Linked DNA regions of Arabidopsis thaliana. The protein of the gene in region 1 purifies or fractionates together with the protein of each later gene. This does not show direct contact. Each region holds a gene or a part of one and is shown on either strand. Other genes may lie near its edges.

Evidence for each region.
Region 2: the proteins of LIN2 (region 1) and GSA2 fractionate together in Arabidopsis thaliana (co-fractionation; one large-scale study listed by BioGRID). This does not show direct contact.
Region 3: the proteins of LIN2 (region 1) and GSA1 fractionate together in Arabidopsis thaliana (co-fractionation; one large-scale study listed by BioGRID). This does not show direct contact.

The regions. Positions count from the first base shown.
Region 1 is NC_003070.9:869,458-873,210, forward strand, and holds the start of LIN2 (Coproporphyrinogen III oxidase), read right to left. Parts: upstream 1,852-3,753; 5' UTR 1,719-1,851; coding exon 1,194-1,718; intron 1,115-1,193; coding exon 1,039-1,114; intron 951-1,038; coding exon 856-950; intron 771-855; coding exon 687-770; intron 506-686; coding exon 418-505; intron 326-417; coding exon 201-325; intron 96-200; coding exon 1-95. Other genes in the region: NAC006 (NAC domain containing protein 6), read left to right, coding at 2,417-2,755, 2,835-2,936, 2,988-3,225, 3,283-3,449. UniProt on the Arabidopsis thaliana protein: Key enzyme in heme biosynthesis. Catalyzes the oxidative decarboxylation of propionic acid side chains of rings A and B of coproporphyrinogen III.
Region 2 is NC_003074.8:18,047,726-18,051,478, forward strand, and holds the start of GSA2 (glutamate-1-semialdehyde 2,1-aminomutase 2), read left to right. Parts: upstream 1-1,845; 5' UTR 1,846-1,971; coding exon 1,972-2,148; intron 2,149-2,406; coding exon 2,407-2,580; intron 2,581-2,657; coding exon 2,658-3,302; intron 3,303-3,402; coding exon 3,403-3,753. Other genes in the region: DCF (HXXXD-type acyl-transferase family protein), read left to right, coding at 710-1,570. UniProt on the Arabidopsis thaliana protein: Transaminase converting glutamate 1-semialdehyde (GSA) to 5-aminolevulinate (ALA). Involved in the biosynthesis of tetrapyrroles.
Region 3 is NC_003076.8:25,449,800-25,453,552, reverse strand, and holds the start of GSA1 (glutamate-1-semialdehyde-2,1-aminomutase), read right to left. Parts: upstream 1,754-3,753; 5' UTR 1,597-1,753; coding exon 1,414-1,596; exon of another isoform or gene 1,261-1,413; coding exon 442-1,260; intron 356-441; coding exon 1-355. Other genes in the region: FACT (HXXXD-type acyl-transferase family protein), read right to left, coding at 2,319-3,164, 3,602-3,753. UniProt on the Arabidopsis thaliana protein: Transaminase converting glutamate 1-semialdehyde (GSA) to 5-aminolevulinate (ALA). Involved in the biosynthesis of tetrapyrroles.

The DNA.
Region 1 (3,753 bases):
TCATATTCCCATCTTGCTGAAAGCGGAAGAGAGACGAGAATGCTCTCTATTCGTCCTCCTGTCTTCAGACCAAATGTCGTTCCCCGATCATATACCTTCCATCCATCATTACAAATACATTAGTGAACAAGGTTCATAACGAAAGATTGGAGAGATGAGAGTGAGAACAGAGAAAAAGACTAATGTTTTGGTCATAGTACCAAGTTGAATTCGACATATCGCCCTCGTCGCAACTGTTGCCATGCCTTGTGCTGCTCTGTAAATTCCATGTCTTTCCTTTTCTCTACTATAGGTATATAAGCCGGCACCACTGAGTTTGCGCATTCTGTAAACACCAATTGCTAAATTAGTCTACCAAGAAACTAGACCAATTAAAATAAATCGTTTGTTGTAGATTGAGGACAATCAGTCCCTTACCAGTGGCAAATGACAGAAGCATTTCCTGATCATAGTCATTAAGATCATCAAAAAATATCCCTCCAAGTCCTCGTCTCTCATCACGGTGCTGCAAGCAAAATCAAAGATTTCTAAGAAAAGTTTTCAAAGCCCTCACACTAACAATAGGCTTCTGAACGTCTCTCTAAGCAGTTTCTACCCTCTCAGATTTGACTATAACATCCCTAAACACAACTCAAAGAATAAGGCCCTCAGTTCCAGAAAATGCTTCAGGATCTCACAAAACTTACCTTGATGTAAAAGTAGTCATCACACCACTTCTTGAATCGGGGATAGAAGGAAGGGTCAAATTTGTCACAGGCTTGCTTTTGAATCTACAACAACAAAGAGCAGTTTATATAAAAGCAACTCCATGATCACAAAGCTCATATCTTTAGAACAAGGAATAAGGCTCAGTACCGAATGGAAATGCTTGACATCTTCTTCAAAGATGTAAGCAGGAGTGAAATCAGTGCCACCACCAAACCACCATTGCCTTGGAGCTCCAGGAACATCTGCGCCGTTGAAAATTAAAAACTTAAGACTGTTGTCCAAACAAAAGACAACAACTTTACAATCTCACTGAGACTTTAGCTTTTTTACCCTTTGGAGCATCTGTCTCGAAATAGCGATAATTGAAATGCAGGGTTGGGGCAAAAGGGTTCTTGGGATGCAAAACCTAGAATCACACAGAAATCCGTAATGATAAAACATGAGAACCTCCAAGAATCGTAAAATTGAAGGGAGAGATTCATTACCGAGCTGACTCCAGCAGCGAAGAACGGAACAGGACCAGGTTTCTGATCAGAAGCTGAGCCCTTTGCAGCTCTATAAGCTTCAGGAGGCATAACACCATAAACCACAGAGACATTAACACCAGCTTTCTCAAAGACATTCCCGTCCTGCAACACACGACTGATTCCACCGCCACCACCAGGTCGAGACCAAACATCTTCTTTAAACTTAGGACCGCCTTCTATAGCTTCAATTGCATCACAAACACTGTCTTGAGCAGCCCTAATCATAGTCTCGAAACGAGCCCTGACGGAAGAAGAAGAAGAAGATGGAGTGACGTCATCAGAATCCCTAAGGAAAGTAAAGGGTCGTTCAGTTTCGGGAACTTCTTTCTCAATTGAGACTGAACATCGCAAGGCGAGATTAGGTTTATTTCTGATTGGACGGGAGAATCTGAGAGTAGAGGGATTGGGAGAATAATGAAGACGATGAGAGGAGAAAGGAGCGAAAGTAGGAGAAGAGAGGAGAGTCGACGAGTGAGAAGCCATGTTTGATCCGAATTTGGATTTGATGCTGAAGAAGAAGATGATGATGGAGAGATATTAAATGATAAGAAGTCTTCGTCGTCCACTGATTTTGACCGCTCTTCCTTTTTATTTAACAGCTCAAGGTAAAAGAAAACACAGTTCCAGTCTTCTCAGACTAAACCACTTCTGAATTATTTAGCCGAAACCAAACCAGACACGAAATTAAAATTGCGGTTTAATTTGGTCGAACCGAAGATATTGATACACAATAGGCTCTTATCCTTCTTAACGGGCTTAATTGCCCAAATTAGGCCCAAAACGATTAGCCGGTTTACGGCACTATGCTATTTTGATGTGGATAAATCATGGTCATGTAATATATCTTTATCTATCGTTAGAATCTGTGATAAACAAAACAAAAGTGTATTATAGATTCGAATCCTATCTAATTATTATTTCAAATAACCAAATAGATGTAATTACAACCGTCTTATTCTTTCCAAAAAATAGTTAATCGCTGACAAAAGAAAATCCGGTTGGGCCCATCACGTTGTCTATATATTCATGATCATATAGAGAGTTCAGCCGCTTGACCTGCGAGGAATTCAAGAAAACCCTGCTTCACAGAGCAGTATTACACAAGAGACGAAAGAGCACTTTTAACCTTAGCAATTATATAGGTACCTTAGCTAGTTCTTCTTCGAATCTATACGATCGATATGAAGATTCTTCCGGTTGGATCACGGTTTTGTCCGACGGATCTAGGGTTGGTGAGGCTTTATCTTCGAAACAAGGTGGAGAGAAATCAGAGCAGTTTCATAACAACTATGGACATCCACCAAGACTACCCTTGGCTTCTTCCTCACGTAAACAATCCTTTGTTCAATAACAACGAGTGGTACTACTTTGTTCCGCTTACTGAACGAGGTGGCAAGATATTAAGCGTACACCGGAAGGTAGCCGCAAGAGGAGGAAGCGAAGGCGGCACTTGGAGAAGCAACGATGGGAAAAAAGAGATCAAGGACGGACACATGCAAAAGGGTGATGGGTTACGAGCAGTCTTTCACGTACCACAGGAGAGTGCATGGAAAGCTTGTCAAGACCGATTGACAGAAGATGGAGTATTCTCTTCACTAGAGTGATGACCTCCAAAAGGTTGTCTTGTGTCGGATCCGATACAAGAAAGAGGCGAACGTCAACGAGTTTGGACTCGTTAACCATCAGGCTCATCAGACTCAGGTGGCGGAGAACACCAACAACATCTTACGGAACCAAGTAGTGTAAGAAGAGGATGCTTTAACCGGTTTTGCTGATCAGCTTGAGATGATGCTAGAGGGACAAGAAGACCGTGAGCAGAAAGAAGAGGCTGATTTAACCGGTTTTGCTGATAGCCTTGAGACGATGCTAGAGGGACAAGAAGATCATGAGCAGCCAGAAGATGCTGATTTAACCGGTTTTGCTGATAGCCTTGAGACGATGCTAGAGGGACATGAAGATCGTGAGCAGCCAGAAGAGGCTGAATTAACCGGTTTTGCTAATGATGACCTTGAGACGATGATGCTAGATGGAGAATAATCTCGCGAAGTTACTCAACAACAACAACAACAACAACAACAACAACAACGTCAAGAAGATTGTGACGTTACTCAAGAGCAAGAAAAAGATGATGTGATGGTACTGATAAACAATCCTAATGATGCCCTCGCATTGGGGAATTATGAGATTATTGATCTAACTAGGGTTGATAAATGATACGACACAAACCAGAGAGGATAGAATTATATTTTAGTGGGTTGAGTTGATATGTGACAAAGATTACTATAGACATATGGTTAGTGTATTTGTGTAACTCCGGTAAAGGAGATATCATAAAAATAGTGGATTTTCCGGGGTAAAATTCTAGTTTAACGAACTTTATTTTAGTTTGTACTTTTGTTTTTCCATAACTCTACAATTAATATAGAGTTGCAGCAGTAATGTTAACTATTTAGCTATGAATTTCAATTGTGTACTTAAAAGTAATGTTTTTGGTTTTCAAAGATTATAAAATTCGAAA
Region 2 (3,753 bases), on another chromosome or scaffold:
TCTGCGATTTTGAGGTCAAGGTGGGTCTGTGATTTTGAGATAATGAAATCGATTTGGGGATTTAGGGTTTAAATTTGTTTCAAGACAAAACGACGATGTTTTGTCTCTGCAATAAACGACGTTGTTTTGTTCTAACAGAGCAAATAAACGAGACATTAACGCCGTAAATTTTTTCTGTTAACCTATTTAACGACATGACTCAAATGGCAAGTCAACAAACACTTTGTCATTTATTTCGAAAGTCAACAAAAACTTTACGATTTATTTATCTTCCGTGAAGTTCAAAATTAAATCGTCCCAAATTTGAAAGACATTTTTCCCGAATATCATTTATGAATTATGATACAATGTTACTAAAAAAATCATTTTTATGTCTCATGCATGTAGTAACGAACACACACTAATATAGTAACAAATGATCAGACGTTACTCTTAAAAACTAGAGTGGTCATCATGTTCAAACTTTAAGGTACATTAGACCATCTAATTAGAACCATGCGTAATTAGTATTGTTAAGTAACCAAAAGAAATAACGACGATCAATAGTAAGTTTTTTTTTTTTGTGTGTGTAACCAATAGGTAGTACTTAAGTTAAATGTATATTATTTCATTCCTATTTCTTTAAATTGGTATCGATTCATTCTAAAATGTTGCATGGATTTTTTTTAACATCTTTAGATAAAGTTTTATGTTCCGTTTTTTTTTTCAGGTGACAAATTTCAAATGTGGGGGTTTTGTCCTAGGACTAGGCATGAGCCACAACATGTTCGATGGAGTCGCCGCTGCGGAGTTCCTCAACTCGTGGTGCGAGATGGCCAAGGGTCTTCCTTTATCCGTCCCACCATTCTTGGACCGTACGATTCTCCGGTCACGAAACCCTCCCAAAATCGAGTTCCCACACAATGAATTCGACGAAATTGAAGATATTTCCGACACCGGAAAAATCTACGATGAAGAAAAACTCATCTACAAATCATTTCTTTTCGAACCCGAAAAGCTTGAGAAGCTCAAGATCATGGCGATTGAAGAAAATAACAATAATAAGGTATCAACATTTCAAGCCTTAACCGGGTTTCTTTGGAAATCAAGATGCGAAGCTCTACGGTTTAAACCGGACCAACGGGTTAAGCTTCTGTTTGCGGCGGATGGACGGTCAAGATTCATCCCACGTCTCCCGCAAGGATATTGCGGGAACGGGATTGTGTTAACCGGTTTGGTGACATCATCGGGAGAATTAGTTGGGAACCCTCTTTCTCACTCGGTGGGTTTGGTCAAGAGACTGGTGGAGCTGGTTACGGACGGCTTCATGCGGTCGGCTATGGACTACTTCGAGGTGAACCGGACACGGCCGAGTATGAACGCGACACTTTTGATTACATCCTGGTCAAAATTGACATTGCATAAACTGGATTTCGGTTGGGGAGAACCGGTTTTCTCTGGACCGGTTGGTTTACCAGGGAGGGAAGTGATCTTGTTCTTACCAAGTGGTGATGATATGAAGAGTATCAATGTGTTTCTTGGCCTTCCTACTTCAGCTATGGAAGTGTTTGAAGAGCTTATGAAGATCTGAAAAAGAACATACATTTTCATAATCAAATTATGATATATTCTACCAAATTATAAGCAAAGGAAAATTATAATCTAGTCATTATTTATACATGTTATATTTGAATTCACGTTTGTATCCATTACAAAAATTTATGTAATTCGCAGAAAATATATATATGTCAAATTAAGTTATCGGACCGGATCGGGTCAAAGAAACCGGATTGGTTAACAAAGTCAAACAAACAAATATTGACTTGAGTTTCAGATTCCAGTAAAATCAAACCGGATCGGGTCTGAATTTAAACCACCGGGTCGGCTCCATCTAAAATCTGAAGATCATCTCCGCCTTATCTTGTTGACTATCTCTGTACTACTTACGAGCGCAAGTGAGAGAGTAACAGAGAAACGTAGAGATATAGCAAAATGGCTGCGACGCTTACTGGATCAGGGATTGCTCTAGGGTTTTCGTGCTCCGCAAAGTTCTCTAAGAGAGCTTCTTCGTCGTCCAACCGTCGCTGCATCAAGATGTCGGTTTCGGTAGAGGAGAAGACGAAGAAATTCACTCTTCAGAAATCTGAGGAAGCTTTCAATGCTGCGAAGGTTAGGCTTTTCAATTTCCATGAATTCAGTCAATAAGAAATGTTTCTTCAGATTGATTACGCCTTGATGTTCTGTTGCTTTGGTTTTGTGGGATTTGATCATATTTTTGGTTAAAGTGATTATCTTTGTTACCCTTCAAGGAACATTGCTAACAAAATAAGATTACTTGAGATAGAATCATAATCTGAGATAAAGTTTTTGTTTTTATTGGTTTCATTCTGTTCTGATTATTGAAATTGGTTTGGTTCCTTTGTGTAGAACTTAATGCCTGGAGGTGTGAACTCACCTGTACGTGCTTTCAAATCTGTTGGTGGACAACCAGTGGTGATGGATTCTGCAAAGGGCTCACGAATAAGAGACATTGATGGAAATGAATACATTGACTATGTTGGATCTTGGGGACCTGCTATAATTGGTCATGCTGATGATGAGGTTTGTTTCTTTCCAGTTTTGATGATTTTTAGATAGCTGAAAGTTTAGTAGTTGATACGGTGATGTGTCTAGTGCAGGTTCTTGCTGCTTTGGCTGAGACAATGAAGAAAGGAACAAGCTTTGGTGCTCCTTGTCTCTTAGAGAATGTTCTTGCTGAGATGGTGATTTCAGCTGTTCCAAGTATTGAAATGGTTCGGTTTGTTAACTCCGGTACAGAGGCATGTATGGGTGTGCTACGTCTTGCTCGTGCCTTCACAGGGAAACAAAAGTTCATCAAGTTTGAAGGTTGTTATCATGGTCATGCAAACTCTTTCCTTGTCAAAGCAGGTAGTGGTGTAGCTACTTTGGGTCTACCTGACTCGCCTGGGGTCCCCAAAGCAGCTACTTCAGATACTTTAACAGCTCCATACAATGATATTGCTGCTGTTGAGAAGCTTTTTGAGGCAAACAAAGGAGAGATTGCTGCCATCATTCTTGAACCTGTTGTTGGTAACTCGGGTTTTATTACACCTAAACCAGAGTTCATTGAGGGAATACGCCGGATCACTAAAGACAATGGTGCTCTTCTTATTTTCGATGAAGTCATGACTGGTTTTCGTTTAGCCTATGGTGGAGCTCAAGAATACTTTGGAATCACACCTGACTTAACAACTCTTGGGAAAATCATCGGTGGTGGTCTTCCTGTGGGAGCATACGGTGGAAGAAGAGACATCATGGAAATGGTAAAGCTAGAGTTGTTAACAATTGAACCGAATAATCTTTTGAATTTGCTGCAAGAGATTGAGAAAGTCCTGATCCTTTATCACTCATGTCTTTTTGCAGGTTGCACCCGCAGGACCGATGTATCAAGCTGGTACGCTAAGTGGTAATCCGTTGGCTATGACAGCGGGTATACACACGCTGAAGCGGTTAAGTCAGCCAGGGACATATGAATACTTAGACAAGATCACAAAAGAGCTTACAAATGGGATACTAGAAGCCGGGAAGAAAACCGGGCATGCGATGTGTGGCGGTTACATAAGCGGGATGTTCGGTTTCTTCTTCACGGAAGGACCCGTCTATGATTTCTCGGATGCAAAGAAGAGTGATACAGAGAAGTTTGGAAAGTTTTTCAGAGGAATGTTGGAAGAAGGTGTCTACTTGGCACCTTCTCAATTCGAGGCCGGTTTTACT
Region 3 (3,753 bases), on another chromosome or scaffold:
AGCTCGTAAACCCGGCCTCAAACTGAGACGGTGCAAAGTAAACACCTTCTTCCAACATTCCCCTGAAAAACCTACCAAACTTCTCTGTGTCGCTCTTCTTTGAGTCTGCAAAGTTGTAAACCGGTCCTTCTGCGAAAAAGAATCCAAACATACCGCTTATGTAACCCCCGCACATTGGATGCCCGGTTTTCTTTCCGGCTTCTAAGATTCCGTTGGTTAGTTCCTTCGTGATCTTGTCTAAATACTCATATGTTCCTGCCTGCTTTAGCCGCTTCAGCGTGTGAATCCCTGCAGTCATTGCCAGCGGATTACCACTTAGAGTCCCGGCTTGGTACATTGGTCCAGCGGGAGCAACCTACAAAAAAAAAAAAAGAATAGCAACATTGGTACATGGCCACCCCTAGTTTTGAAGCTTGTTAAAGGTCTAGAGCCAGATCTTACCATCTCCATAATATCACGTCTACCACCGTATGCTCCCACGGGAAGACCCCCACCAATAATTTTACCAAGAGTAGTTAGATCAGGCGTGATTCCAAAGTATTCTTGGGCTCCACCATAGGCTAGACGAAATCCAGTCATGACTTCATCGAAGATGAGAAGAACACCATTGTCTTTAGTAAGCTGGCGTAAACCGTTGATGAATTCCGGAGTAGGAGGGATGAATCCGGAGTTACCAACAACAGGTTCGAGAATTACCGCAGAAATCTCCCCTTTATGCGCAGCAAAGAGCTTCTCAACAGCTTCAAGATCATTGTACGGAGCTGTTAAAGTATCTGAAGTAGCTGCTTTAGGGACACCTGGAGAGTCCGGTAGCCCCAAAGTGGCAACACCACTACCAGCTTTAACAAGGAAGGCGTTAGCATGACCGTGATAACACCCTTCAAACTTAATGAACTTCTCTTTGTTAGTGAAAGCTCTGGCAAGACGAAGCACACCCATACACGCTTCAGTACCAGAATTAACAAACCGAACCATTTCAATGCTGGGAACAGCTGATATAACCATCTCAGCTAAAACATTCTCCAAGAGACAAGGAGCACCAAAGCTTGTTCCTTTCTTCATCGTCTCAGCTAGAGCCGCAAGAACCTCGTCATCAGCATGGCCAATAATAGCAGGTCCCCAAGAGCCAACGTAGTCAATATACTCATTTCCATCAATGTCCCACATTTTTGAGCCTTTAACAGAATCAATCAAAACAGGTTGTCCACCAACGGATTTGAATGCTCGAACAGGGGAATTCACACCTCCAGGCATTAGATTCTATCATGAAAAAGACACCATTTGTTCAACATTCAGAATCACATTTCTATGCGCAAAACAGAGGCATGATTCAGTCAAGTCCATCAAAATCTGATCTTTTCCGAAAATTTTCAACCAGAATCAAAAAGTATCGGTGGGACGAAATCAATTTACCTTAGCAGCATTGAAAGCTTCCTCAGATTTCTGAAGACTGAAACTTTTCTTCTTCTCGTCGACGGAAACAGACATCTTGATGCAGCATCGGTTAGAAGCTGGTGAAGAAGAAACTCTTTTCGAGATCTTCGAGGAACACGAAAACCCCAAAGCAGTTCCCGATCCTGTAAGCGTCGCCGACATCTTTGATCTGAAACTCGCTGTCTCTGGCGGTCGGAGTTGGTAATCGAAGTGGGTGGGCTTATGATTGAAGAAGAGTCAACAAGATAAGGCGATGGCCAACCACCGGGTTTTTATTTGTCAAATCCGGGTGGATCCGACCCGAATACGAAAGTCAAGTCAAATATTTTAATTTATTTTAAAATATTGGGTTAAATTGATTTATGATACGTTTAAATTTGGTGCTTTTCAAAAGCATGGAATTTGTGTGAAATTTAAAAATTGTTACTCAAATACGATCGAATATAAAGCTTTACTATTTTGGTTTATGTAAAAATAATCTTACAAATGATTTTTTTCTTTTAACCATAAAATTTCAGAATTTAGACAAATCGTTGATCAAAAAAAGACAATTCTAACGATTTAATTTTCGTGATAATATTTTTGCTATGTGTGATAAGTTTATTTTGTAAGGTGTGACTTGTAGGTTGTAATTGATCTCTATGTCAGAAAAAGTATTGTAAGAAGAAAATCAAAGATTTGAGCTCTTACCAAACAACATTTTAGTAAACACAATAGCTTTCTTTATTAAACTTGATACTTTAACATCTTAGTTACATTTTTGCTCCACCGACGAACAATATTTCATACGACCACAAACACGTAATTGATATATCATCATTATTTGCTTTTTAAATCATAGTTAATTTAAATTCAAACATTAAACCATAAATAATTTTAATGATTCATATATCCATAATCCCTTGGAACACTTTCATAGCCGAGCCAGGAAGTCCAAGCAGCACATTGATACTCTTCGTGTCACTACCACATGGCAGAAACAGAATCACTTCCTTCTCAGGTAAACCGACCGGTCCAGATACAACCGGTTCACCCCAACCGAAATCCTTAGTATGAAACGACAGTTTTGCCCACGACGTGATCAGAAGTGTTGCCGTTAGGCTCGGCCTAGCTCGAGTCACCTCAAAGTAATCAATCGCTGACCTCATGAAACCGTCGTTGACCATTTCAACGGCTCTTTTGACCAAACACACTGAATGAGAAAGAGGGTTTAAAGTCACTTCACCTGCCGTTGTAACGCAATAAGTGAACACAATCCCGTTACCGGAATATCCTTTAGGAAGTTCCGGAACGAATCTCGACCTTCCATCTGCAGCAAAGAGAAGCTTGATCCGTTGATCAGGTTTAAGCCCTAAGGCTTGACAACGAGCTCTCCACAGAAACCCGGTTAGGGTTTGAAAAGTCGTGGATCTCGTCTCTGCCATGATCTTAAGCCTCTCGAGTTTTTCGGGTCCGAAGAGGAAGGATTTGTAGACGAGTTTCTCGTCGGAGTAGAGTTTTCCGGTGCCGGAGATGTCTTCGAGGTCCTCGAACTCGTTGTGTGGGAATTCGATCTTTGGTGGGGTTCGTGGTCGGAGAAGTGTGCGGTCCAAGAAAGGTGGAACGGAGAGAGGAAGGCCACGAGCCGTCTCGGCCCAAGAGTTGAGGAACTCCATGGCTGCGATACCATCGAACATATTGTGGTTCATGCCTAGTCCTAGCACGAACCCTCCACACTTGAAATTTGTCACCTAACAAACAAACCAAAATTTGTATGGAAGCATCGTATACAATGTATTCGATCAACTAAAAATGCATGATTTCTTCAATCGTATTTACTCGAATGTACTGCCCAAAAAAAAACGAGTATGTCCAAAATTTATTTTGTCGACAATCACACAACAATCTTGGAAAAACGTCAATTAGGATATGTTCCAATATAAATACTTTTGAATTAAAAGTTATGAAATTTATGTATTTTGTAGTGAATAATAGTATGGATCTTTTTCTTTCTTACTAATTAGCGTATTTATACGTACATGCATAATTAAAAAATCAATATTAATCTAATTCTACTATATAATATAGTTATTTGAAACCAATATCGGACCAAATCCAGTATAGGTCATGTTCGTTCACTCACACAAAACAGCAAGCAAAACATAATATCAATCGATCAACCCCTCACCTGAACAACCACTGGAGGAATCTCGAGAATATTCCGAGCACCGGGAACGTCGTAAACCAACTTTTCAAGAGTCTCTGGTTGATCAATCTCCGATATAGCCTTCTTTATCTTCTCTATCCCACAATTGGCCTCAGCTTCCACCACTACAACTC